2 linked regions of the Notamacropus eugenii genome follow. The protein of the gene in region 1 purifies or fractionates together with the protein of each later gene. This does not show direct contact. Links are inferred from orthologs where the notes say so. Each region holds a gene or a part of one and is shown in the gene's direction. Other genes may lie near its edges. The genes, in order: WAS and NCK1.

The links.
Region 2: the proteins of WAS (region 1) and NCK1 purify together in Homo sapiens (affinity purification with western blotting; 4 studies listed by BioGRID and IntAct, with this or other methods). This does not show direct contact. The link is inferred for Notamacropus eugenii from reciprocal best matches to the Homo sapiens genes WAS and NCK1.

Annotation. Positions count from the first base shown.
Region 1 is NC_092879.1:102,031,344-102,046,916, reverse strand, and holds WAS (actin nucleation-promoting factor WAS), read left to right. Parts: upstream 1-8,516; 5' UTR 8,517-8,577; coding exon 8,578-8,691; intron 8,692-8,879; coding exon 8,880-9,020; intron 9,021-9,104; coding exon 9,105-9,191; intron 9,192-9,342; coding exon 9,343-9,445; intron 9,446-9,768; coding exon 9,769-9,837; intron 9,838-9,935; coding exon 9,936-10,113; intron 10,114-10,859; coding exon 10,860-10,902; intron 10,903-10,995; coding exon 10,996-11,149; intron 11,150-11,426; coding exon 11,427-11,821; intron 11,822-12,044; coding exon 12,045-12,153; intron 12,154-12,292; coding exon 12,293-12,348; 3' UTR 12,349-12,473; downstream 12,474-15,573. Other genes in the region: SLC38A5 (sodium-coupled neutral amino acid transporter 5), read left to right, coding at 2,224-2,291, 2,371-2,440, 2,539-2,654, 2,752-2,825, 2,946-3,038, 3,136-3,220, 4,176-4,258, 4,362-4,420 and 7 more. UniProt on the Homo sapiens protein: Effector protein for Rho-type GTPases that regulates actin filament reorganization via its interaction with the Arp2/3 complex. Important for efficient actin polymerization. Possible regulator of lymphocyte and platelet function.
Region 2 is NC_092876.1:330,759,292-330,775,216, reverse strand, and holds the start of NCK1 (SH2/SH3 adapter protein NCK1), read left to right. Parts: upstream 1-7,871; 5' UTR 7,872-8,169; intron 8,170-8,900; exon of another isoform or gene 8,901-9,191; intron 9,192-15,925. Other genes in the region: SLC35G2 (solute carrier family 35 member G2), read left to right, coding at 699-1,937. UniProt on the Homo sapiens protein: Adapter protein which associates with tyrosine-phosphorylated growth factor receptors, such as KDR and PDGFRB, or their cellular substrates. Maintains low levels of EIF2S1 phosphorylation by promoting its dephosphorylation by PP1.

The DNA of each region.
Region 1 (15,573 bases):
TCAAGATCTGGTTTTCAAGATCTACAAAGACCTGGATCCAGTCTAGAAGAATGAGAGCCATTTCATAATGGTTACAGGATATGGACAGGCACTGCTCAAAGGAGGAAACTCAAGTTTTTAACAGACATGAAAGAATGCTCCAAATCACTCATAATTAGAAAAATGTCAATTCAAATGAATACAAGTGGGTACCTCTTGCCCATGTGATTGGCAAAGATGACAAAGAAAGGAAAATGAAAAATGTTGGATGGGCTTTGGGAAAAGAGGCCTACTTGTACATTGTTGATGGAGGTATGTGCTAAGTAAATGCCTACTGTGCTAAGTAAGCGCTTCAAAATTATTTTCTCATGTGATCCTCACAACCACCCTCAGAGGTTGGTAGTAAGATGATCCCTATTTTACAGTTGAGGAAACTGAGGCAGACAGCAGTGAAGTGACTTGCTCAAGGTCACACATCCAGTAAGTGGGGCAGCTAGGTGGTGCAGTGGCTAGAGCACCAGTGCAGGAGTCAGGAGAACCTGGGTTCAAATCTCACCTGAGACACTTGACACTAGCTGTGCAACCTTGGGCAAGTCACTTAACCCCCATTGCCTCATCCTGGGTCATCTGCAGTCATCCTGATGAATATCTGGTCACTGGATTCAGATGGTTCTGGAGGAGAAGTGAGGCTGGTGACCTGCCCAGCCCTCCCTCACTCAAAACAAAGTCAAGTGCAAGTTACGTCATCATTTCTCTGATGCCATGGTCTTCTTCGGCAACGAAGGATGAGCACACATGAGTTGGTGCAGCTGTTCTGGAAAGTCAGTAAATTGTGTATACCTTTTGATTTAGCAAAAGCAATTTACCAGGCCAAAGCTCCAAAGGGATCAAAGAATGGAAAGGAAAATGAGCCAGATGGGCCAAAAACTTTAGAGCAGCATTTTTTTTATGGTAGCAAAAATATGACAAATGAAGGGGCTTCCCATCAATTGGGGAATGACTGAGAATGTCCTGGAATATTATTGTGCCACAGGAAATGGTGAAATGGGAAGTTTGTGAGAGGTCACTGAAGGCCAACACCAATTCTGTTTCTTTCCCTGATACCTTAAGGCCCATCGTGAGGGCTGTGCTTCAAGGGCTTCTGGAAAAGCTGGGAGCCACAGTTGGTATGATCATTCCCCAAAGCATGTGGGCACAAGGGTGTGTGGGAAAATGGCTCTGGAAAGTGTGTCCCGTGGTGGAGTGGCCATGGGCATCTATGTGGCCAGTGCCCCAGAAGGAAAGCTTGTCCACTTGGCTCTGAGGTTTCCGGGAGGGCTCGGGCCCTAACCAAGGACCTTGAGGCAAAGGGGCTCCAGGCTTGGGGCGGGAGAGAACAGCGCCCCCCAGAACTGCCACACTTGTGCCCTCCATCACAGGAGGGGCGTGGATGCCAAAGAGGAGGGAAACAGCTTGCTGCCCCAGAGAAAACGCGGGCTCCGGGCCGGGGGCGGGGCGCCCGAGGCCGGGGGCGGGGCCTGGGCTCCTGGCGGGAGGAGGCGGGAGAGGCTGAGGAGTCGGCCACTGAGCCCCGCCAGCGATCGGCCAGACGGTTCGGCCTCGGATCCCGAGGGAAACCAGGGTGAGCGAGCCCAGGGGGAGCGGGCGGGCGGGCGGGCGGGCGGGGGGCCGGGGCATCTTCCGCCTGCCCCAGCTCCTAGCTCCGCCCGATGCCCCTGGGCTCTGGCCAGCCTGGGCTGTTCCCCCCCATTTGTGGCCCTGTCCCCCCATGCCCCCCATCCACGGCCCTGGCCCCCCCAGCCATGGCCCCTCATCCGTGACCCCCATGCCCCCCCAGCCATGGCCCTGCCCCCCCATGCCCCCCCATCCGCGACCCCCATGCCCCTCCATCTCCCCCACCCTATCTGTGATGGCCCTGATCACCCCCTGCCCCCTCCCACCTCCTGCCTCCCACATGCTTACTCGAGGTCAGATACCAGTCTAGGCGCTGAGAACTTAGAAAGAAAAATGAAACTGGCCCCGCTCTGGAGAAGTTTGCGCTGTGTCTCAGTCTCTCTCAGGAGGTTGCATCAGTCCTTGTGTTTCCAGACACACTCCCTTACACATGGACAGAATCATGTGCCTACAGCTTGGGGATGGGGACAGCCTGCCTCTGAAAGGGGGGAGCAGAGGTACAGGGAGCTCCTTTCTGTCCTCCAGCCCTATCCCAACCCCTACCTAGGCCCAGCCTCTCTCTCTTCCAGGATGGAACTCATGATGGGGGAATCTAGGATAAATGGCTTGGTCTCCAGGGGGCCCCCAGAGCCTGAGCAGTAAGTAATGCACTGGGACTGGGGAGGCCCACTTGGCCCGACCCAGAAATCCTCAGCCAATCCCCTGTCCCCCCTCCAGATCCCAGGCTGAACTAGCCGGCTTCCTGGCCCGGCCCCCCCCAGGGAAGAAGGCAGTACAGTTCTCTGATGTGAGTGGCCAGCCAATCCCCTTTCTGCCAAGCTCACCTTCTCCCCATCCATCTCAGCTCCTCTGGGTCTCAGTTTCTCTTCCTGTCCCACACTGCAGTTTGAAGGGAAGACCTCTCTGGGCATGTCAATCTTCAACCTCAGCAATGCCATCATGGGGAGTGGAATCCTAGGGCTGGCCTACGCCATGGCCAACACAGGCATCCTGTTCTTTCTGTGAGTCCAGCCTTGAGTTCTGGGGGCAGGTTGGGTCTTTGGGCAATGCACAGAGGGTTTCCCCACTGAGCCCAGCCCCATTTGCTGCCTCCCCCAGAGCCCTCCTGTTGTGCATGGCCCTCCTCTCAGCCTACTCCATCCACCTCCTGCTCACATGTGCTGGCTTTGTTGGTGAGTTCCTTCTTCCCTCTCTCCGTCAAACAAACATGTCCCCTCTGTTCCTCTGCCTGCCCCTTGGACCATCCTGTCCTCCTCAGCTCCTGATCCCCACCAATCCAATCCCTTCTACAGGAATCCGGGCATACGAGGAGCTGGGGCGCAGGGCCTTTGGAACATCTGGAAAAGTAGCTGCAGCTGGAGTCATCTGCCTGCACAACATTGGGGGTGAGGCCATACAAACTGTTGACACGGAGATGGCAGGGAGAGGGATCTAGGCTTGTGGAGCTGATGTGGCCCAAGACTGAACCCTCCCTCCTTTCAGCCATGGCCAGTTACCTGTACATCATTAAGTCAGAGCTGCCCTTGGTCATTGGGACTTTCCTTGGCTCCCAGGTTACCGACTCCAGGTGAGCATTCCCCACACACACACACATGCACACACACATGTGCACATGCACACACACACATGCACACGCATGCACACACACACTCGGGACTTCCCATTACTGATCTCTCTAACCAACTCAGTTCTGTGCAGAGATGTCTTGTTCTCACCGCAGTCGGGTTTAGCTCAGCTTTCAGTTGCGAATGTCCAGAGTCACATGAAGCTTTCTGTCCAGTGGTGAGTGACCAACTCGCCTTGTTCCAGCTATCAAGCTGGGAGCTTCTCACCAGCTGCTCTTGCCAAGCCAGCTGTCCTGATTTCACTGTCAAGCTGTGACTGTCTTGGCCGTGTGTGAACAGCTATTTTGGCCTGACTGGCCAGCTGGCCCAATGAGGATGTCTGGCCACCTCCAAGTGACCGGCTTTCTTGCTCAGGAACACTCCTATGCACTCATTTTCATCTTGTCATCCACTCTTCTCTCAGACTGGGAGACTGGGGCAGCAGAGCACGGGGAGTAGGGTCTCTAGGAAGCCTAGCCACCAGCCCAGGCTGGATCAACGCTTCTTTTCTGCAATATCCCTACCAAGTGGGCCCCAACCAAAAGAAGAGGAGGCCCCCACCTCCCCAGGCAAGCTTTACCACTCTGGGCCACCTCCCAGGGCTATGGAGCCTTTTCCCAATGGACCTGACTGGTCGTGCTGGGCCACCTGTCTCAATTTGGCTGTTCTGCATCAGAACTCAGTGACCATCTGTTTCAGTCATTTGACTGGCTGTTTTGGCCTGCCTGCTCAGCTGGGAGGGTTTTGCCCAGGGGTGTCAGTGACGGAGAACGAATGTCTGTCTGACTCTGACTGACTAGGTGTGGGTTTCGGTTTGTTTTTGTGGGAGTGCTGCCTGAATCAGGACATCTGCCTGGGATCCTCAGGCTACCTCAGCCTCCCAGCCTGTCTCTTGCCCACCCCTGATATCCTTTGCAGGCCCTGGTTCCTGGACGGTAATGTTCTCATCATCCTCGTCAGCATTGGCATCATCCTGCCCCTGGCCCTCATGAGACACCTGGGTGAGTCAGAGAAGAGAAACTAAGCTCTCTGGGGGATGGAAAGGGATGGGAAGGAAGAGGGACTGGCTCTGAGGGCCCCAAATCTAACCCTCCCCCTGCACAGGGTACCTGGGCTACACCAGCGGCCTCTCCCTCACCTGCATGGCCTTCTTCCTTGCCTCTGTGAGTTTTGAGGGCCTCTGAGATTGGGGAGGGGGGACCTCGGGATAGGAAGCCCACCCCATCTATCTCTGCTCCCACCCCCTGCAGGTGATCTATAAGAAATTCTCTATCAAGTGCCCCTTGCCTGATGTCAACCGCACCATGGAGACTTTCAAGAGCCGCAATGCCACCTGTGAAGTTCAGCTTTTCACCATTAACTCCCAGGTCAGACTGCCTTCCCTGCTCACCCTCCCTCACCTAGCTACTCACCCAGCCTGCTGGGTGGCCCAGCGCTGGGCACCTGGAAGATCATCCCCACCCCCATTCTAGGGAGGACCAAACTGGGGTTGAAAAAGAGGCTGGGGAAAGTCCTTCTTGGCATCTGCCCAGTTCCAAGAAGACCAGACACCCCCAATAAGGGGACAGAACAGAGTTGGGGGAGCCCATTCAGGGAAAAGTCACAGGAGGGACATCATGCCTGCCCTACTGGTTCCAACCCAGATCTCCCCCCAGACAGCTTACACCATCCCCATTCTGGCCTTTGCTTTTGTGTGCCATCCGGAAGTCCTCCCGATTTACACTGAGCTGCGCAGGTACAGAGGGATGCCAGAGTTGCATGCTGGGGAAGTCAGGCCAAGGCTTGGGATGATGATGGGACCTGGACACTGGGGATTGAGGAGCCAGGGCAACAGAATGGATGGGGGGACCAGATGAAGCTTCAGAGGAATGCAGACACATGACCTTTCTCTGTCCCCAGGCCATCACAGCGCCGGATGCAGGCTGTGGCTAACATGTCCATCGGGGCAATGTTTCTTATGTATGGACTGACAGCAACTTTTGGTTACCTCTCCTTCTTTGGTGAGAGAAGGAGGGAGGCTGAGACCTGGACTCAGGGCCAAGGGAAGTGGGGAGGCTTGCAGGTGGTGGCTGGCTTCCTACCCTGGGTTGACGTCTGTGTGTGTGTGTGTGCATGTGCATGCACATACTCGTGCACATGTACACACATGTGTGTGTGTTTTTGCCCACCTTCCCAGGCCACGTGGAGGCAGAGATGCTACATATGTACAGTCAGACAGACTTGCTGATCCTTTGTGTGAGACTAGCTGTGCTCATGGCTGTCACCCTCACCGTCCCTGTTGTCCTCTTCCCGGTGGGTGTGTGTCTGGGCAGGGAGGGCAGAGAATAGGGTCAGGCTCCTGTGGCCCTCCTTGACTTCTGCGTTATCTTCCTGCCTCTAGATCCGCCGAGCTATCCAGCAGCTCCTGTTCCCAACCAAGGCCTTCAGCTGGGCCCGACATGGCACCATCGCCCTTGGGCTCCTCACCTTGGTCAACGTTCTTGTCATATTTGTGCCCAACATCCGGGACATCTTTGGAGTCATTGGTCAGTCTCCCCTCTTTCCCCCACCCCTCCCAACTGGTGCTCCCAGAGGGCTACCATGATTGCCTTTCCTTCCTCCCAGGAGCCACTTCAGCCCCCAGTCTCATCTTCATCCTTCCCAGCATTTTCTACATCCGAATCATCCCAAGGGACCATGAGCCCTTGGCTTCTCGCCCTAAGATCCAGGTGTGGGGGCAGAAGTACCTATCAAAGAGCAGGGATCAGGAAGGAGAGGCAGCGGGTGGGAGGCGGGAGGAGGATGAGAGCCGAGGCCCAGGGGAAGATGGGAAGAGCGTGAGATGGCGCTCAGTCCTTTAGCTCTCCTTCCTGCCCCCACAGGCAGCCACCTTCGCGTCTCTGGGCATGGTAATCATGGCCATGAGCTTGGGTTTCATCTTCACTGACTGGGCTGTGACAGGCCAGAGCAAGGGGGCAGGCCACTGACCCAGAAGCCCAGCTGGAACCTCCCCCACCTCGGGACCACCATGTGCTGGCAGACATGTGTGGGGAGATGCAAGAGACCCTGAGTGTTTGTGTGTTTGGGCGGTAGGGGGGACAGGATTGGGGGGAGGAGGCCTCCTGGGGCTGAGAACAATCAGCCTGCCTTCCAGAGGAAGGGCCAGGCTGGGCTGGGTTCCCTCTCCCTGCAGGGATCAAAGTCCCTGGGAGGAAGCAGCCCTGGAGGGGCAGACCCCAGGCCTGGTATCTGTGGACCCCTTCCTCTGATGGGGGGGGGGAATTGACCTGTTGGCTTCATGTTTGAGAAAATGCAAAGAATAAAGAGAATTTGAGGATCCTGGCTGTTGTGTGGTTGTGTCTCAGAGGACCGAGATGTATGGGAAAGGATCCGTGTGGCAAACTTCCTCATTCCCAGAATCCTCTGCCTGCAGGCCTTCCAGGTCACTTGGAACAGCCCTGGGTTGGAGGAAATGCCCCCAGTGGCTGCTCCTGGCTCTGCTTTTGGCTTCTGGGCCCTAAGTCATTTAGAATCCTCAAGAAGCCCAATTCTCATGTCCCCTGGCCCCTTGATTCTCTAGGATGGCGTAGACTCCAGGCTCTTGGCCAGTCAGGGTCCTTTCTGAAATATGGTTCTTATGGTTTTGGGTCTGAACCATCACAGCTACCATCCCTTTCCCCACATACCATATCCTGGATATCACAGCCCATACCATACACATGTGTGCATATATACACACATACACAACATCACAGATACCACACTGCATAACATACACGTATGCACACACATATACAACATCACAGACACCATGCCCCATACCATACGTGTGTGTGTGCACATGCGCATGCACACGCGCATGCATACACACACACACACACAGAGGATTTCTAGTAAGTGAGTTTCCAGCCCTGTCCCCCACATATTCCTTTGCTGGTTCTCTGTCCAACTGGGTCTCTCCCATCCGAGGTCCAGTGTCGTCACTCTAACCCAAGATCTTTCTAAAGCTTTGCTCAGAGTGTCAGCAGCTTTCCCTCTGCTTGGTGTCTTTTGCAAATTTGCTAAATACCTGGTGTGTGTGTCCACAAATATTCAACAGGACAGGACCAAGCATAGATCCCTGAGGCACTCCACTGCAGACCTTCCAAGTTGAAATTAGAACAAATAGTGACTCTTTTAGAGATCCTGCTAATTCCATATCTAACTGACTCAACTCCTGCACATCTCCCTGGCCTGGACACCCACCTGTCTATGGTCTGCCAGTCTGCCAGTAGACTGGTCAGGAGGGGAAGTGGGCTCAGTCCAACATGACCCGTTACTGATGTTGAGGAAGCCACACTAATTCTTCATAGTGACCACTGCTGCTTTTTCTTGAAGTTAACAACCCTCCCTTTATGAATGCATTCTTGAATTTGGCTGGGACCACTAGGTGGCACTGCAGTGGAGAGAGCCCTGGACCTGGAGTTAGGAAGAGTCATTTTCAGAGTTCAAATCCAGCCTCAGACACTTCCTAACTGTGTGAACCTGGGCAAAAACCTTAACCCTGTTTGCCTCAGTTTCCTCATCTGTAAAATGAGCGGGAGAAGGAAATGTCAAACCCCTCTGGGATCTTTGGCAAGAAAACCTCAGATGGGGTCACAAAGAGTCAGGCATGACTGAAACAACAACAATGAATTTGATCAGGAATCCAAGCTCACTGATCTATCTTGATCTAGCAAGTAGAAGGTTTTTGTTGTGATCGTCCTTCATTGTTGGAGAAGATCGAGCCATCAGAGAGATGATGGCATGACTTGCACTTGACTTTGTTTTGAGTGAGGGAGGGCTGTGTGAGGTCACCAGCTTCACTTCTCCTCCAGAGCCACCTGAATCCAGTGACCTGATATTTCTCAGGATGACTGGAGATGACCCAGGATGCACTGGGAGACCTTGGGCCCTTTAGGCCAAGGTCTTTGCAGGTACTCACTTAGGGTGAGACAACACCCATTCATTGAAAGTGGAAACAGACAAGAAACCTAGGTCTTTCTCCCATGGGACCTATTCCAAGAACATCGTGTTTTCCTTGTTAAGGCAGAGATGGGGAAAGAGCATGAGCACACAGACCAAGGAAGACACAAGGTGAGAGATAAGAGGGCTGCAGAGAGAAAGGGGAGACAAAGTGAGAACAAAATCAGGAGGGAGGACCAGGCCAGGCCAGGGGCCCCAGGAGCCCATGGGTTGGGCTTGGGGCAGTGTGGTTTTCTTGGCTTCCTGTTCACTGGGTGCGGAAGTTCCCCTTCTTACCCCGTCACTGGGGCTACTTGGGAAGACCAGGCGAGGAGGAAGGCAAGAAAGGGCTGCTGCCATGAGCCGAGGGAATCGGGGAGGGCCACCGCAACACCAACAGAATGTTCCCTCCGGTCTTCTGCAGGATCATGAGAACCAGAGGCTGTTTGGCCTCCTGGGCCGAAAGTGCTTGGTTGGTGTTTGTCAGCCCTGGATCCAGAGAATCACCACCGCCCCCCACTCCCTTCTATCTGCTCTGCTGGGAACCCTCCTTCAGGAAACGGGAGGGGGCGGGCGTGCTAAATCCCAACGTTCTCAGGTCCCTTTCAAGTCTCCACTGACCTGGTCTCTCTCTTTGTCTTGGGGGCTGCCTGGAGACAGACTCTGGCAACCTCAGTGGCCCAGCTGTACCTGGCACTACCCAGCACTGGCGGGCGCTGGCAGAAGGAACTGAGTGGAGCCATTTGCTTTGTGAAAGACAACCCTCGTCGTTCCTATTTCATCCGCTTCTATGGCCTCCAGGTACAGGCCAGAACAAGGTCTCTTTGTAACTGTCGGTCTCATGCTCTGTGTCACTCTCTCAGTTTCTTTTTACCCCCTCCCCAGGAAGGACGCCTCCTCTGGGAGCAGGAAATCTACACTCAGCTTGTCTACTCTGCCCCCACCCCATTCTTCCACACCTTCCCCGGTGATGTGAGTAACTGGCCAAAGGGGTGTGGGTGCTGGGATGATTCAGGGGTGAGGATCTAGGGGTCTGGTGTTTGATGGTAGGTGAGGCACTACCTTGAGAAGTGGAGCTAACCACTTTGGGGTGGGGGAATATGGGCATTGGGACCATTCCCAGGACTGCCAAGCTGGTCTGAACTTTGCCGACGAGGCTGAAGCCCAAGTCTTCCGAGCTTTGGTGGAGGAGAAGATCCAGAAACGAAGCCAGAAACAGAATGCTGGTGAGAGTCAGGGCCATGAGTAAAGGAGAGGAAGTCTCTCCAGTTCCTTCTCATGGCCTTCTCTCTCCACATGTCGCGCTCTTTTTTCCAGTCTCAATTTCTGTCTCTGTCTCCCATTCACTCTTATTCTCTGTCTCTCTGTCTCTCTGTCTCTCTCTCGTTCTCTCTCTCTCACACACACACGCACATGCACACACACATGCATGCACGCATGTCACCTTTCTCCTCCCTGTGCTCCAGATGATGTCCTCTTGGGGTGGGTGCTGAGCTGGGGGAAAGGCTGGACAAGGGAAAGGTCATGACCTGTGGTCTTCACCCCACAGGATCTCTCAGCACAGAAAGAAGAGGGGGCACTACGCCCCTCCCTCCCCAACCCAGTGGAGAACTCAGTGGTAAGCAAGGGGAAAGGGCCAGACAGGAACACACAGCTGTGGGTCTGGACCTTCCCACTTGAATCAATCTCCCCCAATTTGTCCTCCTCCATCTCTAGTCCCAGCTAGTACCCTGGGCTCCCCATCTTTGGGCCTGGTTGCTGTGGACATACAGAACCCAGACATTACATCCTCAAGGTACCGGGGGCTCCCCGCTCCAACTCCTCCCCCGGACAAGAAACGCTCAGGGAAAAAGAAGATCAGCAAGGCTGATATTGGGGCCCCCAGCGGGTTCAAGTGAGGCCTTCCCCCACCCCCCCAAACTCTCCAGGGAGGATTTAGCAGGTGCTATCCAAACCCTGCCCTCAGCAAGCATCTGCTGTAATCAGCATGGGCCCATTGGAGGAAGAGAGCCCGAAAGACTTTCCAGGGGGCGGTTCCAGGGGATGAGCTCTGGGGACAGCTCAGAGAGCAGAGTGTACAGGGAGGCTCCTGGGGAAGGGTTCAGGGCTCTGGGTTAGCCTCTCAAAGCCAGGGGCCTGGGGAATTAGGAGGCTGTCAGTGGCCTTGGAAGGAATTGCAAGGCTTGGATTTGAGCTCAGCTTTAGACACTCAGGCAGTTGGAGATGGAGTCTGGCATCAAGGTGATACTGGCAATCTTGGAAGGAGAAGAGAGTCCAGGCCAGGACTTCTGGGGCTGCCCCAGTTTTGGGGGAAATGGGTTCAGGTATCCTTCGATGGGCAGGCCATGTCATGGAAAAGGAGGAAGGAGGCGAAGAAAAAGCTTGACATGTCATTGATGACCTTGCGGGGAGCAGGTTGCAAGGGGAACGACAAAGAGAAGGGTCACATAGGACAATAGGGATCTGAGCTGGCCTCCAGGCCCCAGAGAAAGAGCTGGGGGAGAAGGAGGGGCTGCTCACCACAGTGGTGAGGCTTCCAAAAGGCTGAAATGGACATAGGGGTGGAACTGGGGCTGGGGTGATGGGAATCTGGGGAGCGGGAGATGCCTTCACTGAAGTTCTGTCCTGTGCCCTCTCCAGGCATGTCAGCCATGTTGGATGGGACCCTCACAGCGGATTTGATGTACGTCCCTTCTCTTAGATCCCCCTAAGCCCTCCCCCGGGATTTAGGATTGGGCCTTAGGGTGAGTAGGACCTGTGACCCTGCCTCCAACAGGTCAACAACTTGGACCCCGACCTACGGAGTCTCTTCTCCAGAGCTGGAATTAGTGAGGCCCAGCTGACTGATGCGGAGACCTCCAAACTCATTTATGACTTCATTGAGGACCAGGGTGGGCTAGAGGCTGTCAGAGAGGAGATGCGGCGACAAGGTGAGCACCTCTCCCCTGACCTTTTGAGAGTTTCAGCTGAGGGCTCTGGAAAAACCCCATCTAACCCTAATCCTAACCCTAAATGTACTCCGATTCTAACCCTTCATGAAAACTTCCAAATCTTGAGCCCAGAGGCTCCAGCCCTTCCCTGCTAGTTCTTCCTAGGGAGATCTGGAGGTGGGAAGGGGTACAGGGAGAAGGGTTAGAGGAGGAGGATGTATTTGTGTACCCTGCCTTCTAACCTTTTGCCCTATTCTTGCCCTTCTGGTGTCTGTAGGCCCTGTTCCACCCCCTCCACCCCCATCTCGTGCTGGGCCCCCTCAGCGGTCCCCTGGCTCTTCTGTGGTTGGAAGCCGGGGGGGTCGGTCAGGACCCCTCCCCCCTGTGCCCTCTGGGCCAGGTGGGATCCCTAGTGGACCTCCCCCAGTTCCACGGGGACCCCCACCTCCTCCTGGCCGGGGGGGTCCCCCACCTCCACCACCACCTGCCTCCCACTTGGGGCTTCCAGCACCCCCACAGCTGCTGCCACCAACCTCTGGAGCAGGGCCCCCACCACCTCCACCACCACCACCACCACCTCCACCATCTGCACCTTCATCTGGGGGGCCTGTAGGCCCTAGAGGTCGGGGAGCCCTGCTTGAAGAGATCAGACAAGGCATTCAGCTCAACAAGGTGGGGGCTTGGAGGGGGTGAGAATCGCTGGATTAGGGATCTTTGGATCAGGATTGGGAAGAGGCTATTGGGGGATCCTGGCGGTGGTACTGAGGCAAAGGGAAAGAACATGAAAGATGGACAGAAGGCCAAGATGGGAATGCAAAAGGCTGGGATGGGGGTGAATATGCTTCAGCCTGGTGTGCTGAATTTGAGATTTTCACTGGGTCTACCCTCTTTGCAGACACCAGGGGCCCAGGAGTTCCCAGCTCCCCCACCCCCAAGCTCTGAGGGGCTGGTGGGGGCCCTCATGCATGTCATGCAAAAGCGGAGCAAAGTTATCCACTCTTCAGGTGAGAGGTGAAATAATCCCCAGCCTTCCCCTCTTCCCAAGTGCTGGAGCATGGTGGTTGGTTGGGTGGGGGGGCTGTGTGTGATCATGGGACTCTGGCCCTCTTCACTCACTTATTCTGCACCCTTGTTCACTCACAGATGAAGGGGAGGACCAGGGGGGTGAGGAGGACGAGGAAGATGAATGGGAAGATTAAGGAATCACTGGCCTGGCCAAAAACTGCCCCCTGCTGCCCGCCCCCTGCTGCCTGTCCCCTGCTGCCTGTCCCAGAATGTGATAATAATGGAAGAGTTTAGAGAAATAAATTTCCCCCTAAATTCTGCTGCGCCTGTATGCCACAAATTTGGGTGTGTTGTCTCACTGTTTTCACTCTCTGACGAAATGAGCAATTGTTCCAGTGATGTGCTCTCTGACCTGTTCATTCTTTAGGATCCATCTTTCTGCTGCCCTTTAGTGATTGGAATTTTTGTTGCGTCATGATCTGAAAAGTTCTTAAGAATCACAAGGATCATCTTCCTGTGTTGGGACACCAACAGTTCAGCCTCTTTGAATTTCTGATGTTTTCTCTTTCCTTTTTACCTTCTCATTCTGCTTTTCAGTCTTTTTTTTTTTTTTTTTACTCAGCTCTGGTCTTTCACCAGGAAAGCTTGGAAGTCCTGTATTTCCTTGGGTTACCATTTTTTCCCCTGACAGATTATGCTCAGTTTCACTGGGTAGGTGTTTCTTGATTGTAATCTCAGCTCCTTTGCCTTCTGGAAGATCATATTCCATGCTCTCTGATCCTTTAACGTAGAAGCTGCTAAATCCTGTGTAATCTTGACTGGGCCTTCATGAGATTTATATTGTTCTTTTATTTCTCTCGCTGCTTGCAATATTTTTTCCTTGACCTGGAAATTCTAGAATTTGGCTTATCTGGGAGTTTTCGTTTTGGGATTTCTTTCAGGAGGTGACTGATGGATTGTCTCAATGTCTATTTAACCTTCTGGTTCCAGGATATCAGGGTACTTTTCTTTGATAATTTCTAAAAGTATGATGTACAGGCCTTTTTTTTTTCAATCATGGCTTTCAGGTAGTCCAATAATTCTTAAATGATCTCTCCTGGATCTCTTTTCCGGATCAGTTATTTTTCCAACGAGATATTTTACATTTTCTTCTATTTTCCCATTCTTTTGATTTTGTTTGATTGATTCTTGATGTCTCATGGAGTCATTAGCTTCTACTTGTCCCGTTCTAATTTTTAAGGAGTTATCTTCTTCAGTTAGCTGTTTAACCTCCTTTTCCATTTGGCTAATTCTACTTTTTAAGGAGTTGTTTTTTTCTTTAGGTAATTTTTATGCATCTTTTTCTATTTTGGGGGGCTTTCTTTAATCTGTTGACTCTTTTTTTCATGATTTTCTTGCATCACTTTCATTTCTTTTTCTAATTTTTCATCTACCTCTCTTATTTGATTTTCAAAACCCTTTTTCAGCTCTTCCAGGAGTTCTTTTTGGATCTGAGACCAATTCACATTTTTTGTTTGTTTGTTTGAGGCTTTGCATGTAGGTGTTTTGATATTATCCTCTTCTGAGTTTGTGTCTTGATCTTCCCTGTCATCACAATAACTTTCTATGGTCAGGTGTTTTTTTTCCATTCTTATCCTTTCCAGCCCATTTGACTACTTTTAAAGTTAAGCTCTGCTCTTGGGGTGGGATGCTGTCCCAAGTTTCTTATGGTGGGGGTTATAAGCCCAGGCTGCTTACCTGGTGTTTTGAAGGTGCCATAGGGAATCTGGTGCTGAGCTTAGTCCGTGGAGGTGGGGGGAGACTGGCTGCTCACCTGGTGCTGCCTCAGGGCTGCTGTGAGGGAGGTGGGTCTGGCCACTTGCCTGGTATTTTACTGGGATGGGGCAGGAGGTGGGGGCCTACATGTGGGGGAGGGGTTGGCTACTTGTTTGCTGCCATATTGGGGCCTTGGTCACTGACCTGCCCTGGGGCCTACCCTGAAGTCTGCTTCCCTTTTCCTGCCAACCTTCCAAGTTATCTTGGCCTAGAAAATTCTTTCACCCGATTGTTGTTTCTGCTGTTCTGGAATTCATTTCAAGACACTATTTGTAGTTGTTTGGAGATGAATTTGGGAGAATTCAGGCAATTTCCTTCTTACTCCATTATCTTGGCTCCTGGAAGTCCCTGTACTCTGTTAATAATAGACACTATGTAGCTACAGAAGCAAGTTTGCCAAACAAATTCAGTCATGGAGGTTGAACCGGTGGAGCTGGGTTACAGAGAGGACCTCAGTGTTCCAAGCAGGGAGAGGTTAGGGTTAGACTCGGATCACTGATATTCCAGAAACATCACTGTGAATTTCAATCAAACGACACCTACTCCAGTGAAGGGCATGGCTAGAACAAGAGGGAGTGTGGTCTCTGACTCTTGGTCAACTTTTTGTCCTTGCTGAACAGTTCTGCAATACCAGCCGTCAGTCTCCAGCACTTGAACACAGACAAATGTTCATCTCAAAAGTAATAACCAAGATGAGTGAGGTTGAGAACAGCTTTTCTCAAGGTGGTTCTAGTAGAAGTTTAGATTAAAAGTTAAAGCAGGTTTTTAAGGAATGTACAATGTTGTTCTGACACCATTGTCCACGGAACGCCTTTTCAGATGCATGTTGGGAGACCTGCTTTTGGTCAAAGAAACATGCCCTAACCGAACCCTAAATGCATTGGGCTCCTTTTGTTTACTCTCCTCTAAGGCAGGTAGTTTTAAACTTTTTTTTTAAATTAATGGGAGGGCAGCTGGAGGGTGGATACATTAGCAGCCTTGCAGTCAGGAGGAGCTTGTCCCTGAATTCCTCCAAAGTAAAAAAAAGCAATCAAGTTCATGGGGCCAATTAGGAGATGCAACACAGGCACCTTCAGATCTGGGTCCTAAACTTGGAGGCCTTACTGACTTGTGTTGCTCTAAGCAAACTTGTTCAAGAAATGAGAGAGAGAGAGAACGCAGAGGAAACCCTGGAAATCTCCAGGGCCTCCCAGGAGACACAAACTTCATCTCCATAGCAATGGCGCAGACTCTCTGAGCTCTGCCATTGCAGCAGAGCAGAACCTTGCTTTGGGGCGGCCGGTGCCGGGGACCTAGTGAAGGTTCACAACACCCTTTACAACAAGTACTTCGCTTGACTCTCCCAGCAACCCTGGGAGGGAGGGATCTCCATTGCCCCCATCTTACAGTTGTGGAAACTAAGGCAGGCGGAGGTAGAGTGATTTGCCTGGGCTACGCCTTTAAGAAGTGTTTGAATTCAGGTCTTTAGGTCTCTGCTGCGTCCATAGTGTGACAGCCTAGCAGCTCCTGAACATGGCTGCAGACAATATTGTCCAAAAGTCACACAGGATCCCTCATCTGGAGGTGGAAAGAAGGGGGGAGATCTACTCCAATCCCTCATTTTA
Region 2 (15,925 bases), on another chromosome or scaffold:
TGCTACCAATGTAATATTCCTAGAGCATGAGTCTGATCATGTCACCGTAATCCAGTGAACTAAGTAGAATCTACTAGGGGGAACTAGGCATACAAATATCATAATTAGTTATTCAACATTCACAGGTGTAAGATTTCTTTATGGATATCCTAAGTATAATCCTGGTATATTCAATGTTTTCATGAAGTAATGACAGAGTGACTGGACATTTGGAATATATAATATAGACATAAATGACCCAACAGCAAAAAGAAAAGGTTTGATATAATTTGCTATTTTTAAAACTTATTTTCCTTGCAGGGTGGGTGGGGGGGAGGACAGCTAAGGTAAGACTAGAATTTTGAATGAGAATAATTTCTAGTAAGGAAATGATTAGACAAGTAAGGTTTGAAGGTAGACCAGAATTATTAATGTAAAGAAAGAAAGATCTACAGTGCTAAAGGACACTATAGGAGACAACTAAGATAGGTGGAGGAAAATGGGTGGCTCATTCCATGGGGTTCATGGTTCTTAAAGGCAACTTTAGCTAGAGACTTTTACGCAATTCTACTACTGCCAGTTCATTTCTTCTATAAGAGCTATTTCTCTACCAATGAATTGATATGTAGGTGTCATATTGATTAAATTTGCAACTGAGCAAAAGTGTAAATCTATTTTTTTCTTTTTTTATTCAAGTGTAGACACATTTATCTGAAGACATGGATACTTCTCCTTCCAAAAAATATCCTGTAAAAAAACGTGTGAAAATACACCCCAACACAGTGATGGTACAATATACTTCTCATTACCCCCAACCAGGAGATAGTGGATATGAAGAAATAAATGAAGATTATGGAAGTTTTATGGAGGAAAATCCAAAGAAAGGACTTCTGAGTGAGGTGAAAAGAAAAGGAAGAACTTTCTTTGGGACCATGGATAGTCGAACCCCACCAACTGAAGACCCAAAGGTCAATGAGATTGAACAATTCCAGAGCTTTGCAGAAAGAAATATTTTTCAGTCTAGAAAGACTTGGATAGTGTTGTTTGGATCTGCTTTGGCTCATGGATGTGTGGCCCTTATCACTAGACTTGTTTCTGACCGTTCCAAAGTGCCATCTCTAGAACTGATTTTCATCCGATCTGTCTTACAAGTATTTTCTGTGTTGGTTGTGTGTTACTACCAAGAGTCTCCTTTTGGACCCAGAGGATATAGACTGCGACTCTTTTTCTATGGGGTATGCAATGTCATCTCTATCACCTGTGCTTATACATCTTTCTCAATAGTTCCTCCCAGCAATGGAACCACTATGTGGAGAGCAACAACCACTGTATTTAGTGCTATTTTAGCTTTTTTGCTGGTAGATGAACGAATGGCTTACATTGATATGGCTACAGTTGTCAGCAGTATCTTGGGTGTTTGCCTTGTCATGATCCCCAACATTGTTGATGAAGAAAACTCTTTGCTGAATGCCTGGAAAGAAGCATTTGGGTACACCATGACAGTAATGGCAGGACTGACCACTGCTCTTTCCATGATAGTATACAGGTCCATCAGGGAGAAGATCAGTATGTGGACTGCCTTATTTACCTTTGGTTGGACTGGGACAGTCTGGGGAGTATCCACTATGTTCATTCTTCAAGAACCCATCATCCCATTAGATGGAGAAACTTGGGGATATCTCATTGCCATATGCATCTGTTCTACTGCAGCTTTCCTGGGAGTTTATTATGCATTAGATAAATTCCATCCAGCTCTGGTTAGCACAGTACAACACCTTGAGATTGTGGTGGCAATGATCTTACAGCTTCTAGTGCTACATATTATCCCCAGTGTTTATGATGTCTTTGGAGGGGCAATCATCATGATTAGTGTTTTTGTCCTTGCTGGTTATAAACTTTATTGGAGAAAGTTAAAAAGGGAGGACTATCAAGAGATACTAGATTCTCCCATTAAATGAGACTCAATTTTCATTTTCTGAATCATGTTCAATTATGTGCACTGCCATGTTGTATTCATGTATCAATGTTTTTTGTGTTGTATAATGGACAGAGTTCTATATAATATATAGGTATAAAAAGAGGAAAAATATGCAAATGTAGAAAGATTTATATTAGTCTAACACATAAATGCAAATATTAAATATATGAAATACTGTGAACTTTGGTCTCTTAAAAATATCTATTTAATTATTTAAGGGATAACTGATAGAAAAATATGCTAGCCTTAGTTATCAATTTCTGCACTAATAAAAATTTTCCCTTTTAAGAAAATTTAAGTTATTGAAATTTATAAATTAAAGAAACTTAAATGGTATTATGACACTTTTCCTAGCTATAGTTATTTCAACATTAAACCTGAATCCCTTCACATGCACAGTGTACATTCTGGAAAACCTGTCTATAAAAAGAGATTCTAATTATAAAACCTGATCTGCATTATTACATTGGAAGTTGGCAGTAGCAAAGTGGGGAACTGAGGTAGTGTGGTTGGGGTCAAAAGGTAGGAGAAGGAAGGCTTTTTCACTGACTCAACTTTGGTTATAGTAAGTAAACATCACAGCAAAAACCTGGTCTTTCCTTTATCAGGGTTGCCATGAGTAGTGGAGGTGGAGCATACTTGAGTTTTTCCTCAGACTTTGTGGATCTGATGCACCATCCTATTGCTAATGCAGTGTTCTTTTCCATTTAGCTTCACTGGTTTACAAATCTCTCCTGGCTACTGCCCTCTTACCTTGCAACAGAAGGAGTGCTCCAAGCTACTGGCAGAGGTGCCCGCAGTGGAAATGGCAAAGGAGTAAATTAATGTGGCATGTTATCTAAAGATTTTCCTCAGGGGAACCAAAAAGTCTCAAAGGTGTATATTAATGTGTCATAATACATTTGTTCTCTACTCTTATTAATTCCTTTAAAACATGGTTGTCTATTGGATTTGCATGGGTAGGATAAATCAATAATAGTAGAAACCTTACAACTAAATTTCAGCCCATAGTTGACTTTTTGAAAATGAAATGAGAATGCAGAGGTGTACTTTATTCTACAATAATTAATGGGTTGTCTGACTTGCCATAATAATGCTTTATTTCAGATATTCAAATTCTGCTCATTTCAACTTTCAGTTGACAATTGAGTTCACAGAGGCAGAATGAGGTCATAGAAAACTCAATGAACTGGGAGTCAAGAGAGTTGGGTACTTATGCCAACTGGTTACTTCTTTGATATGTTACAATCTCTCTGGGACTCAGCTTCTGTATCTGTAAAATGAAGGGGTTAAGATAGATGATATCTGTGCCCCCCCTCTCCCCCTAATTTTGAAAACTCATTCCTTCCTTGGACCTTTAAATAAATAAAAATATAAAACAACAAACTCAACATTCTTCTGAATGAGGTATATTAAAGACACTTTTAACTAATACATGCTTATTGATTTTCTCACCCTTTGGAGTCTGAGCCAGTAGGGAAAGGAATGCAGAGGTCTTGCTTTAAGTATCATTCTTCTAATACTAAAATCTGAATGTGTAAAATATCTGAAGTTTACAAAAGGATTGTTCACTCTATAAAGGGAATCACTAGGCAGAAAGGTGATACAGTGCATAGAGTGTAGAGCCTAGAGTGGGGAAGATTCAGCTTCCTGAGTTGGAATTCAACCTTAGACATTTATTAGTTGTGTGATTCTGGGTAAGTCACTTAACTCTGTTTGCCTCAGTTCCTCATCTATAAAATGAGCTGGAAAAAGAAATGGCAAATCACTCTAGTATCATTGCTAAGAAAACCCCAAGTGGGGTTCACGAAGAGTTGGACTCAACTGAAATGACTGAGCAACACCAACAGAGGGATCCACCACAGATTTCTTCTGAATAGATGTCTTTACTACTCAAGTTAAATTGTATGTTCAAAAAATTTAATTTATGAACTTTTAAAGAGTCCATTTATTTAATCACTCAACAAATGCTGATCAAATAGATATCAATTTGACAATATTTATTTATTTATTGAGCCATGCTAGGTATTATGAAGTCTACAAGCAAGAATAAGAGAAGTGTGGCTCTGTGTTTAAGGGGTCAATAGTCTTCTTTGGGAAACAAAACATATTCATTAAAGCAATAACTTCATATGATGGAAGAAACTTGGGATGGAGTCAGACAAGCTGAGTTCTGGTCCTTGATTTAAGGTTAACTAGTTGGGACATTTGACCATTATAGGCTCTCTGAACTTTAGCTTCTTCATCTGTGAAGTGAAGAGATCATAATACATTATTTCATAGCTTACTATCCAGTTCTATAATTCTGTGATTATAAATTAGCTAGGATGACTATTAATATAATTCAGAAGTGGGACAATTTAGAGTCAGAAGAACTGAGTTCCAATTCTAGCTCTGCAACTTAGTGTTTGTGTGACCTCAAGAAAGTTATTTGACTCCTCTAGGTCTCAGTATTCTCAACCGTAAAAATGAGAGGACCTCTAAGGTCCTCCCTATCATCTCTAAATCTATGACCTTATGCTTCTATGATAAAGTATGAAAAAGACAGGAAAGAACTGAACTTAAGACCTAGAGATCCATGGATTCCAATTCCTTGTCACTTATGACGAGCTATGTAACTTTGGACAAATCACTTAAACTTTATGTGTCATAGCTTGATCTGTAGAACTGGGATAATATTAAGTATACTACCTACTTCATAGGATTATTGTAGGAAAAGTGCTCTGTAAATCTTATATAAACTTATATGAATGAGTTATTTTTTTTTTTGAGACATTAGGCAGGAAAAAATCACAGGACTTAAGTGCTTAGTTGGATATATGTGACAAGAGAGAGGTTCCAAGTCTTCATGAGAGAAAAAATGATGGTATTATTGATAAGAGTAGGGAAGATTTGGAATGGAATTTTTGGGGAAAAATGATAAATTCATTTTCAGTTCAATTCAACAAACATTTATTAAGCATATGCCTACCATGAGCAAAGCAGTCTTGAACTTGAGGTGATGGCGAGAAACTCATGTAGTTTAGAGGAGAGGTCAGGCCTAGAAACCTCTTTTGGGGAGCCATTTACATAGAAGTTATAACTGAAACAATGAGCATGGCTAAGTTCTATAATGCAGAGGAGAGCAGGGAGCCTATTCCAACCTTGCAGAAAGAAGAAAAATAGGATAGTAGGAGGAGAGTTTTGCTGACTGTTGAAGCTTAAACTGGGTTTGAGGCCTGATCAAAGGTCATTAGATATAACATTTAGGAGATCATTGATGACCTTTGAGAGATTAGTTAGAGCAGAATGTTGAGGGCAGAAGGTAATAATTACACCTGGATAGAACTTTCTTCAAGACAATTCTGTGAGGGTTAATAATTGAATTATTATCCCTACTATATGGATGGGGAAACTGAGGCTCTGAGAGGTTGAATTCACAATCATGTAACATGTTAGAACTAGACTTTGAAAGTGTGTTGCCTAAATTTAAGTCCAGTATTCTTTTCATTACCTTGATGGGTTTTGGAATGAATAGATGACGGAAGAAATAGAAACAGCAGACAACTTTTGGAGAAATATGACAGTCAAAAGAAGAGGAGGAAAAGGACACTAGGTAGGAGGGGCATCTTTTTTTTTAAAATGGCTATAGATATGTATATATATATATATATATATATATATATATATATATATATACCTGTTGTATTATACCACATAAAATAAATATTATAGTGTTTTCAAATGTTAAAAATTTACAACTGAAATTAATTGGTACAAAATCCATTAAAATGTAATATTACAAAACATAGGATTTAAATTTATTATTGCTAGGCTACTCTCTACTTCATCATAGGGTTTTAAGAACATCAGGTAAGGGAGGGCCTTAGTTCCACAAAATTCACCCATCCTCATTGTTTTCCTAGAACACTTAGTTCCTTCAGTTACTTCCGCTTACCCACATCTCTCTTTTTAATATATCTTTGTTTTTATATCTCCTAAATTTCTTCTAGCATCCTTCCCTAGCCTCTCCTAGAGAGCCATCCCATACAACAAAAGATATAAAAGAAGCAATTAGCAAAACTGAATAATACATTGAAAAGGTCTGAAAATATATGCTAGGTTCTACACCTGTGGACTTTCTATTTCATCAAAGGAATTGAAGGAAATGTTTTATGTCTCTTTCTTTGGGACCATGCTTGTTCTTTGTAATTTCACAACACTCATTTTCAGTTATTTTGTGGTGGTTTTTCTTTTCATCTACATTGTTGTAGTTACTGTGTATATTGTTTTCTTGGCTATGCTTACTTTACTCTGTATAACAGCTTTCCTTGCTTCTTTGTAGTCATCATATTCCTATTTCTTATGAAATAGTAAGATTCCATTATACTTATCTTCTATGATTTGTTAGTCATTTCGCATTCGATGACTTTGCTTCCAGTTCTTTGTAAACAGTGATGCAATAAATATTTTGGTGTATATTGAGACTCCTTTATTTAGTCCTAATTGGCTACTAGCAACTGTCATCAGTGGCCCCACCTCTGAATAAAAAGGTCAAATGTACTATGTAATTCAAGGCAGGGAGAAATCAGGAGGAATCGTTTTGTACCTTCCTAACTCCTGCCGCTTATGGATAGCAATGGACCTCATCCCATCTATCCTATAGCCTTTTGGCCATTCTCAACACATTGATCTCATTCATTCCTCAAATCCAAATACACTGCCAATCTTGTTGCTTCTACACTTACAGTACATGTTATCTTCTTTCTTCTCACAGAATTTTCATCCTGATGTAGGATCATATCACTTTACACCTGGGTTACAATAGCTTTCTGGTTGGTCTCCTTGTCTCAAGTACCTCCCCATTTTAGTTTCACTCATCTGCTAGGGTAATTTTTCTAAAGTGTAGTTCTGACTTCCTTAAAGACTGAGCTCAAATTTTACCTTGTGAGGGACTTTCCTGACCTTCTCCCCCAACTCCCCAGCCACTGATGTTTTCCCTTTTCAGCTCATCTTCATCTCTTTCTATATCTTTCATGTACCTAGTTATTTACATGTTGTCTTTCTCATTAGAATATATACTCATTGAGGGCATTTTTTTTTCTTTCTATATATCCCCAGGACTTAGCACAGTACCTGGCATAGTAAATGCTTAATAAATGCTTTTGGACTGTCTACGTGATTTTGGTCAAATAACTTACCCTCCCTGGTCCTCAGTTTTCTGATCTGTAAAATGGGGATATTAGACTCGCTGGCCCTCTGAGGCACCTTCTGAGGTCTAGATTTATGATCCATTGCCTACAACTCTACAAAGCTTCTCTTTAGCTGGGATTCCAACCACTCTGACTCTCTAGACAGCCCTTACTTCCTAACCCAAATGGCACTATTCTTGACTAGGGAAGAAGATTCTGATATATTGTGAATACAGAACACGCTTAAGAAGAATATGAGAAGGGAAAAGTACCAACAAAAGATAATTAAGCTTCATCGGTGAGGAAGGGAATACTCTAGAGAGGTCTTTACCCCAGAATAGTTGTAATACTTTCAAGTATTACACATTTCCAGTGAAGGTATTCATTACATAACTCCTTATCTCCTTTTTTTGCTTTCCCCTTTGCTTTGCCATCTCTCCCCTCCCTCCCCCTTTTTCTTTGCCCTTCTGGTCTCATTCCAGTGTGGGTGCCGAAAAAGAGATGGGGGCAAAATAAAGAAAATCAAGAAAGAACAAGCTTAGAGATAAATTGAAACCAGACTTTAGCAGGATTAATCTCTTTCCTAGTTGCTTCTGTGAGGGCTGATGTGGGGTGGAGGAACTACAAGATTCCAAGGGATGTAGGTTTAAATCTTGGCAATTATCAGACAGAGAGGAAGTCAGATGACTGTCAGCCCTTCGCACAGTGCCTAGCACACACAGTTGACCTCTAGTAAATGCTCATCAACTTGACTCAGGATCAGATACCTGGGTGCCTTATTTAACCTCCTAGGTTTTAGTTTCTTCACTTAGAAAATGAAAAGGGCTGGCGAAGATGATTTCTAAGGCCCTTCTGGCTAAATCCCTTCAACATGTGCCTTTAGTGCGGTACTGTCTCCCAGGCAGTGGTATCCACTGAATTTGAAGAAGTGGATGCGAGCCAGGACTGTGGGAGACGATGTGGAAACCCCCCCAACAGGTGCCAGGTGAGACACCGAGAGGAGACAATGCCCAAGTCACCGACGGCTTTTTAACTTGTCAGGTGAGTGTCATGGCTTTGTCTTCCCCCCCCGACTCTTTTTTTCTTTTGTAAGCCAGAAAGGAAGTGGCTGTTTAGATCGGAGGTAATGAGAAGTAAAGCTCCCCGGACCGCAGCCTCATGGTTTGGGTTCGCGTCTTTGTGGCTGGTCTGGCCCACGAGATCGGGGGGAGGAGGGTGCCCGCCTGCTCCGGCCCAATTGAAGATGGGTTCCCATTTCCATCCCCGCGATCTATACTTTCCACCAAACAACTGGACCTTCCGGACCCTCCCAGGTCCCAGAACCAGGGTGCTGCAGCCTCTGGGCCTCGCGGACGGCGCTGCGGCGGCCGCCCAGCCCGGACACGAGCCGGAAGGGAAGTTGCCATAGAAGCCGCCAAGGTCAGCGGTGCCACTACCGGGGAGGAGGCGGCTAGGTGCCCAAAGGAACGGGCAGACCCAACGAGGGCACCACGAAGAAGCGGCTTGCTGCCCTGGCTCGGTTTGCGCTCTTAAGGTCACCCCGACAACCGCGAGGCAAGGTACAAGGCAAGCGAGTGACATCTGGCCCTCCAAGCCCCAGCCACCAGCCACCCGGTGGGTTCCCTCCCAGCGCGCGCGTGCCCGGCGACTTTGATTGACGGACAGCTACGCCCAATCCCCTCCCGCTCTCGGAGCGCTCCTCGAGTCAGCGTCTTTGAGCCAATCACCGGCGGCCAGGAGGGAGTTTCCTGGGGGGCGGGGTACCGAGCTAGGGAGAAGTAGGAGGAGCCGACCCAACGGATCGGAGCGAGGCTGCCGCAGGCGGGGGCCGGTGGGCACCGTGCGCGCGCCCGTGCGCGCTCTTCTTCCCTCCCTCCTTCCCTCCCTCTCTCCGAGGTGCCCCTCCCCCTCCCTCTCGGGCCCGAGCTACGCGGCGGCGCCGAGGCCTCCTGCCCGGTAACGGCCGTTCCCCCTTCCCCCATCCCCGCCGCGGCGGTGGCAGCGGCTTCCTCGTCGTTCCCTCCTGCTCCTCGGCTGAGCGGCGACCGCGGCGGCCCTGCGGGGTAAGTGCGGGGCCGGCTCGCGGGCAGGTAGCCCGGCTGCCCTGAGGTTGGCCCCGGGTGGGGGGAGGGCAGGGCTGGGGGCCCAGCCAGTCTCCCGGCCGGACGGCGGACGGCCGTTCCCCGCCCCCTCCCGTCCTCGCCTCATCCTCCCTCCCCCTCCCCCCGCCCTCTGTGGTCTCCTTGCGGGCCCTCCCTCCCCGCACGCTCCTCCTGGCCAGCCTCCCCCGCCCCGTCCGACTGTTCATCCATTCGTCTGTCCCTCCCTCCCTCAGGATCGGTCGCTCTCAGTCCAGGCGGCCGGTGGTGCCCAGCCGCCGCCCGTCTGGGAGCATCGGGGGCTGGAGGCAAGTCAGTCAGTCAGTCAGTCAGTCAGTCAGCAAGCAGTTACTTAGGGCTGGGTTCTGCGGTAAGAGCCTGAGATGCAAAGAGTGAAAAAACAAAACGTAGCACCCCCCGACCCCCCAAAAAGCAGAGAGCCCCCGCTTCTTTTCCTACAGCGAAGACAATGTCTAGGTGAGGGGTCCTTCCCCTTTTTGTAAGCCCCTTTGGGATCAGCATGCTGGGACCTCATCTCGGAACAATCCTTTTAAATGCATGAAAAACACAGGATTTGCAGAGGAGACCGGAGTTATATTAAATACAGTTAGAAACACATTCTTGAGACAGCTAGAGTCACAGACCCCAGATTAACACTTTTCATCTTGGCACGTAAGTGAAACACGAGGCTCTGAAGGCAGCTGTTGAGGATTTAAGAAAGGAGGTGTGATGAGGGAAGATTTTGATAAGTTCTGTTGTACGTCTGTTTAAAAGTCAGAAGTATAGCTTAGTACCCTGAGAAAGAAGGGAAAAGGTGAGGGTAGGGATGATAGGGGAGCTCCCATAAGTTTGTTACGGTAGAAGGGAGTTGGGCACCTCATGGAGACTTGTGAACCTTCAGAACGGGCTTTTCCTTCTCCCCGAGTCTTTTTTGTTGTTTGTTCACTTGTGTTGGGGGATCCCGAGCCATCACTTCCATCACTAGTGGAAGGCGTATGTCTTTGAAATGGTGCCACAAAGCTTCATTGGTGGAGGCATGTGCTTTAATTGGTAGCGTAGACTGGGAATGTCATTTGATAGGTGCTCTTGGTGCACCTATTGCGATTTGTGTGTGTCTTTACATAAAAGTTAAGCTTAGCAACAAGAACTGGGTTGTAGACTAAAGTTCAGAGGAACTGGGAAAAATGATTTAGTTCTTAGGTAGACTAAGAACTCTACCAAAGCAGTCCTGAAAGAAACAGTAGCATTTTCAAAAGAATAATTTAAAAGTGATGGGGTTTTGTACTTTTAGCCCTACCTTGATATTAGGTAACTCTAGATGATAGGTGCCTAAAGTCGAAAACAGCATGTTGCAGTGGAAACAGTGCACTGGATTGAAAACAAGAGGAGCTGGATTCGATTCAGAAGCTACCACTTACTATCTGCTTATCTTATGGGAATTTATTTTGATTTTTTAGACTTCATTGTCCAAAAAACTACAGCCCTTTCCAGCTCTCCATTTATGATTTATGATCCTAAAACTAGAAGGCCTTGCAGAAGATAGGAATAGAAACATATATGAAAAAAATCTCAAGTAGTTTTATTTAATTTATTAATTTTCTGTTGAATTTAGTGTCAAACAACAAACATTTATAAAGTACCTATTTTGTGCCAGGCTCTGTGCTAAACCCTGTTAATTAATAGTTTATTTTTGAATCATTTTTAAGCACCTAGATCTTTACAAACTGTAAACCTCTGTTTATTATTACTTCTAAAGAATACATTATGGAACTGTGGTGACTTCCTCTTCCTCTTCTTCCTCCTTTTCCTCCTCCTCCTCCTTTTCCTCCTCCTCCAGTGTTTTTCATGTGATTTCCCAAAGTGTCTATCTTTAACAAGACTGCAGTTCAAAGGTATGGCAATTCACAAAGAAAATTTTTGTATTTACATATAAGCACTATTAAATATCTCAACAACTCTTAGTGTATAGTAACTATTCAATATGAGATCAGTTTATTGATAGGAAACTGTTGCAGTTCATCTTGTTCCATGATGTTCAGTTGTTTTAAGTCTTGTCCAACTCTTTGTGACCTCATTTGGGGTTTTCTTGGCAAAGATACTGAAGTAGTTTGCCATTTTCTTCTCCACTTCATCTTATAGATGAGGAAACTGAGGCGAACAGAGTTTATTGACTTGCCTAGGGTCACACAGCTAGCAAGTGTCTGAGGCCGAATTTGAACTCAGGTCTTCCTGACTGTAGGCCCTCTGCTCCATCCACTGTGTCACCTAACAGCCCCTAGTTCATCTTGGCCACAGATTATTCCGTAGTTGTTTCATGCCCATCTCTGAAAAGTCTACCAGCTCTATTGATGGTTTATCAGTGTTACAATACACTTTCTTGGATCTGTGGGACTTAGAAAAGGTCTTCTATTTCATTTTTCTGCCCATTCTGGATTAAAAAGAAATCACTTCTGAAGGAAGGTAATCTGCTCTAGTTTGTGAAAGCTCACAGTTTGCCTCTGGTTTCTTTGTAATGCTACTTAGGTCTTCCAAGGATGAAATAGTTTTGTTTTTTTTTGTTGTTCTAAGTTAAATTTCTCGGGTTTCTGGGTTGGCCCACTTTTTTTTTCAGCCCTGAGGGGAGATGGAGACCTTGGTGGGATTGGGGAAGAGAAGAAGGAATTAGCATCTACCATGTGTCAGGCACCATGCTAATAACTTTATAAATAGTATCTTATTTGGGCCACCATGACCTGTGTTTGGAACAGAAAAATTTTTCTTTAAAAAAAAAACTGTTGGATGCTTTGTTTTTGTATCACTTTATTTCCCTGCCTCTCTTCCAGAGTAAAAAAGAAAGGAAAAAAAATGAAAACTTATCAAGAAATATTTCATTCAACCTGACATTGTATGTAGTTGTCCATACCCCATAAACCCCTAGTCTTCAAAGAAATGAAAGATTCCCAAATCTCTTCTCTGGGTCAGACTTTTTCATTACAATTACGGGCATTCAGTTTCAATTTGTTGTCCTTCCATTTAGACTCTTATAGTTTTCTGTATGCTGTTGTCACTATTTTGTGTATTGTTTTTCTGGTTCTCTTCATTTTGCATCAATTTGTAAATTTCTTCCTATGTTTTCCTGTATTCCTTATATGTCTCTTTCCTTGAGCACAGTAATATTCCATACATTTATATACTGTCTGTTTAGTCATTCTCCCACTGGTGGACATCTACTTTCTTTTCAGTTCTTTGATACCGCAAAAAATAATGGTGAACATATTTTGATGTGTTAGAAATTTACTTGGTGTATAGTGGAATATCTTGCTCAAAAGATAAGAATAATTTATTCCAAGTTGCTTTTTAGAATAACTGGACCAGTTCACAGCTCTGTCAGAAGCATATAGTGTGCCTTTCTTTTCACAACCTTGTATGAGAATTTGGTAATTCAACCAACATTTGTTAAGCATCTGCTATTTTCAAAACCCTGAGCTAAGGCTGAGATACTGTGATTGAATTGGCTATTTTTGAAGGAAAAAGCTAATAAGCATTTATGAAATGTCTACCACTTGACAGAACTGGAGTAGTCCCAGGGAATGCAAATATGAAGATGAGATGGTCCTTGCACACAAAATTACTTTCCAGTTGAAGAGTTCCCACCTGTAGGGAAGAGACCATCTGAAAAAGGTTTGGAGATTTTAGAGTACTGAAAAACCAATATAGCTCAAGTATGTTATAGCTGCCAAAAAAATGTAATTCAGTCTTAGATTGCATTGAGAGACATGCTATTTATAAAGAAACTTATAGTTTCCATGTATTTTGCCCCAGTCAGACCCCAACTGGATATGTTCAGTTCTGATCATCACATTTTAGGAAGAATATTGATAAACTGAACAGTATGTAGAATACAGCAACTAGTGTAGTGTCAGTGAGAAGATAGTTTGAAGGAACTAGGTATTCTTAGCATGGAGAAAGACTTTCGTAGAGAAGAGGAATTTGGCTTGTTTTGCTTGTCCAGTGTTGCTCCAGTGTTGCAGGAGTGATGGAGGGGCAAGGGTTGCACAGAAGTAGATTTCTACTGGATGTAATAGAAAATTTTCCCATTAGAATTATAGAAGTAGGATGGTTTGCCTCAGGAGGTATGATACTGCGTTTCCCTTCGCTAGAGATCTTAAAAGCAAATGCTCGATGAACACTTGTTGTAGAGGGGATAATTTTTTTTCTTAGATACTTTCATTGATATATTTTTTAATGTCACTATATTTCCCAATATATCCCTGATCATACTTCCTTCCAGACAGCCACCCTTATTGCAAAGAATAAAGGAGAGGAAAGCAGTTCAACAATTCAACCTAAAGTGTGACATATAGAAGTGCTCCATACCCATATTCCTTCTCCTCTGGAAAGTAAAGAGGAAGTTGTCACCACCTCATGTCTCTTCTTTGGGGTCCAGCTTGGTCATTATAATTCTGTAGTATTCATAGGATCATAGATGTAGAGCTAAGGGACCTTAGGGAACAATCTTCTTGTTTTACAGGTGACGAAACCGAGACCCAGAGAGGTTAAATGACTTGTCCATGGTCACATAGGTAGTGAATTGAAAAGCCAGGTTTCAAACATGAATCTTTTTTTCTTAAATTAAAAAAAATTTTCCCCATTTAATAGTCTTTTATTTTTTTTCGATTACATGGAAAGATAGTTTTGAACATTAACTTTTATAAGATTTCGAATTCCAAATTTTTTTCTCCTTCCTTCCTTACCTCCTCCCAGACAGCATGCAATCTGATATAGGCTATACATGTATGATCCTATTAGACATATTTCCACGTTAGTCATGAGTCTTTTGGAATTGTCTTAGATCATTGTGTTGCAGAAAAGAGCTAACTCCAGCAAAGTTGGTCATTGCACAGTGTTGCTGTTACTGTACAGTGTTGTCTTGGTTCTGCTCACTTCACTCAGTTCATTTAAGTCTTTCTAGGTTTTTCTGAAATCTGCCTGTTCATCATTTCTTATAGAACAGTAGTATTCCATTATATTCATGTACCACAACTTGTTCAGCCGTTTTGCCAATTGATAGGCATCCTCTCAATTTCCAGTTCTTTACCATAACAAAAAAGAGCTGCTATACATATTTTTGTACATGTGGATCCTTTTCCCTTTTTTACGATCTCTTTGGCTATATAGGCCAAGTAGTGATATTGCTGTATCTTGTATATGCACAGTTTTATAGCCCTTTGGGTATATAGTTCCAGAGTGCTCTCCAGAATGATTGAATCAGTTCACAGTTCCACCAACAATGCATTAGCATTCCAATTTTCCCAATCTTTTTCAACATTTATCATTTTCATTTTTTCTCATATTAGCCAGTCTGATAGGTGTGAGGTGGTACCCCAGAGTTGTTTTAATTTGCATTTCTATAATCAGTAGTGATTTAGATCAGTTTTATATGACTATAGGTAGCTTTAATTTCTTCATCAGAAAATTGCCTGTTTATATCCTTTGACCATTTATCAATTGGGGAATGACTCAAGCACAAGTCTTTTGATTCTAAATCCAGTAGTCTTTCTATTACACCATGATAGTTCCAGTGTTTTTTGTTCTAATTGCATTGTTGTAGCTGTATATGTTATTTTCCTGGTTCTGATTACTTAATTTTGCATCAGTTTATATTACTATAGTCTAATTGTACTTCTCTGTATTCATTGTTTCTTATAGCAATTGATCATATTGTATTAAATTCACGTACCACAGTTTGTTAGTCATTCATTCTTCCACTGATAGGCATCTTTGTTTCCCGTTCTTTGATCTACAAAACATGCTGCTGTAAATATTTTGTGGCATATGGAACCTTTTCTTTTTATCATTGACTGTATGAGGGAATTTTTATTCGGGTATGAGTTGGAATAAGATGGCCTCTGGTTACCCTTTTAACTCTGAGATTTTGCCATTCTATAGAAAATCTTATTACATAGAAATGTGTAAATCAGGGAATGGACTAAATATGCAATTCTAATTTCTGGATCCCCTATGCTCTGTGTCACAGTAAACACTCTCACATTTTTGCTTATTTACTCTTGCATTATCAATTGCTATCTTTACTATGTGCATCTTCTCATTTCTTCATTCCTGATTACCTTTAGTGAATATCTTATACACAGTGCTAGAAAAAAAAGCCTGTGAACACAGCTAAAAAGAATTACCTGTTATCTGGCTATTTTGATAGAAATAGAGTGATTTTATAATCATTCATAATATTCAATATCATTCTTTTTCCTCTAAGCTTCTGTGCCAAATGAAGGATAGAGTTTTTGTTTCATAAAGACTTATTTAAATCTCTATCTAGAATATTTTTTTTCCCCTTAAAAACATTGTTTTATAGTATGGAAGTTCAATCTTATTTTCACAGATGAATAAACTGAAATCCAGGGAAGCTCAATGACTTGCCCAAGGTCAAAGATGTAGGGTTGGGGATTAAATCCTGACCTGCTGACTCCCAGGGATTCAGTGCTGCCTCCACAACACTGCATGACTTCTTTTGTGGTGTACATCGTAGAATTAAGATCACAGTTCTAGCTCTGGAAGAGACCTCAGAAACCATCTAGTCCAGTGCCCCTCATTTTGCAAATATGGTAGCTAAGACCCAGGGAGCTTTAGTCTGTAAGTTAGTACTACAAAAGTAGAGGTGGAATTTGAACCCAGGTCTCTTGTACTTCCATCTCAGAGCT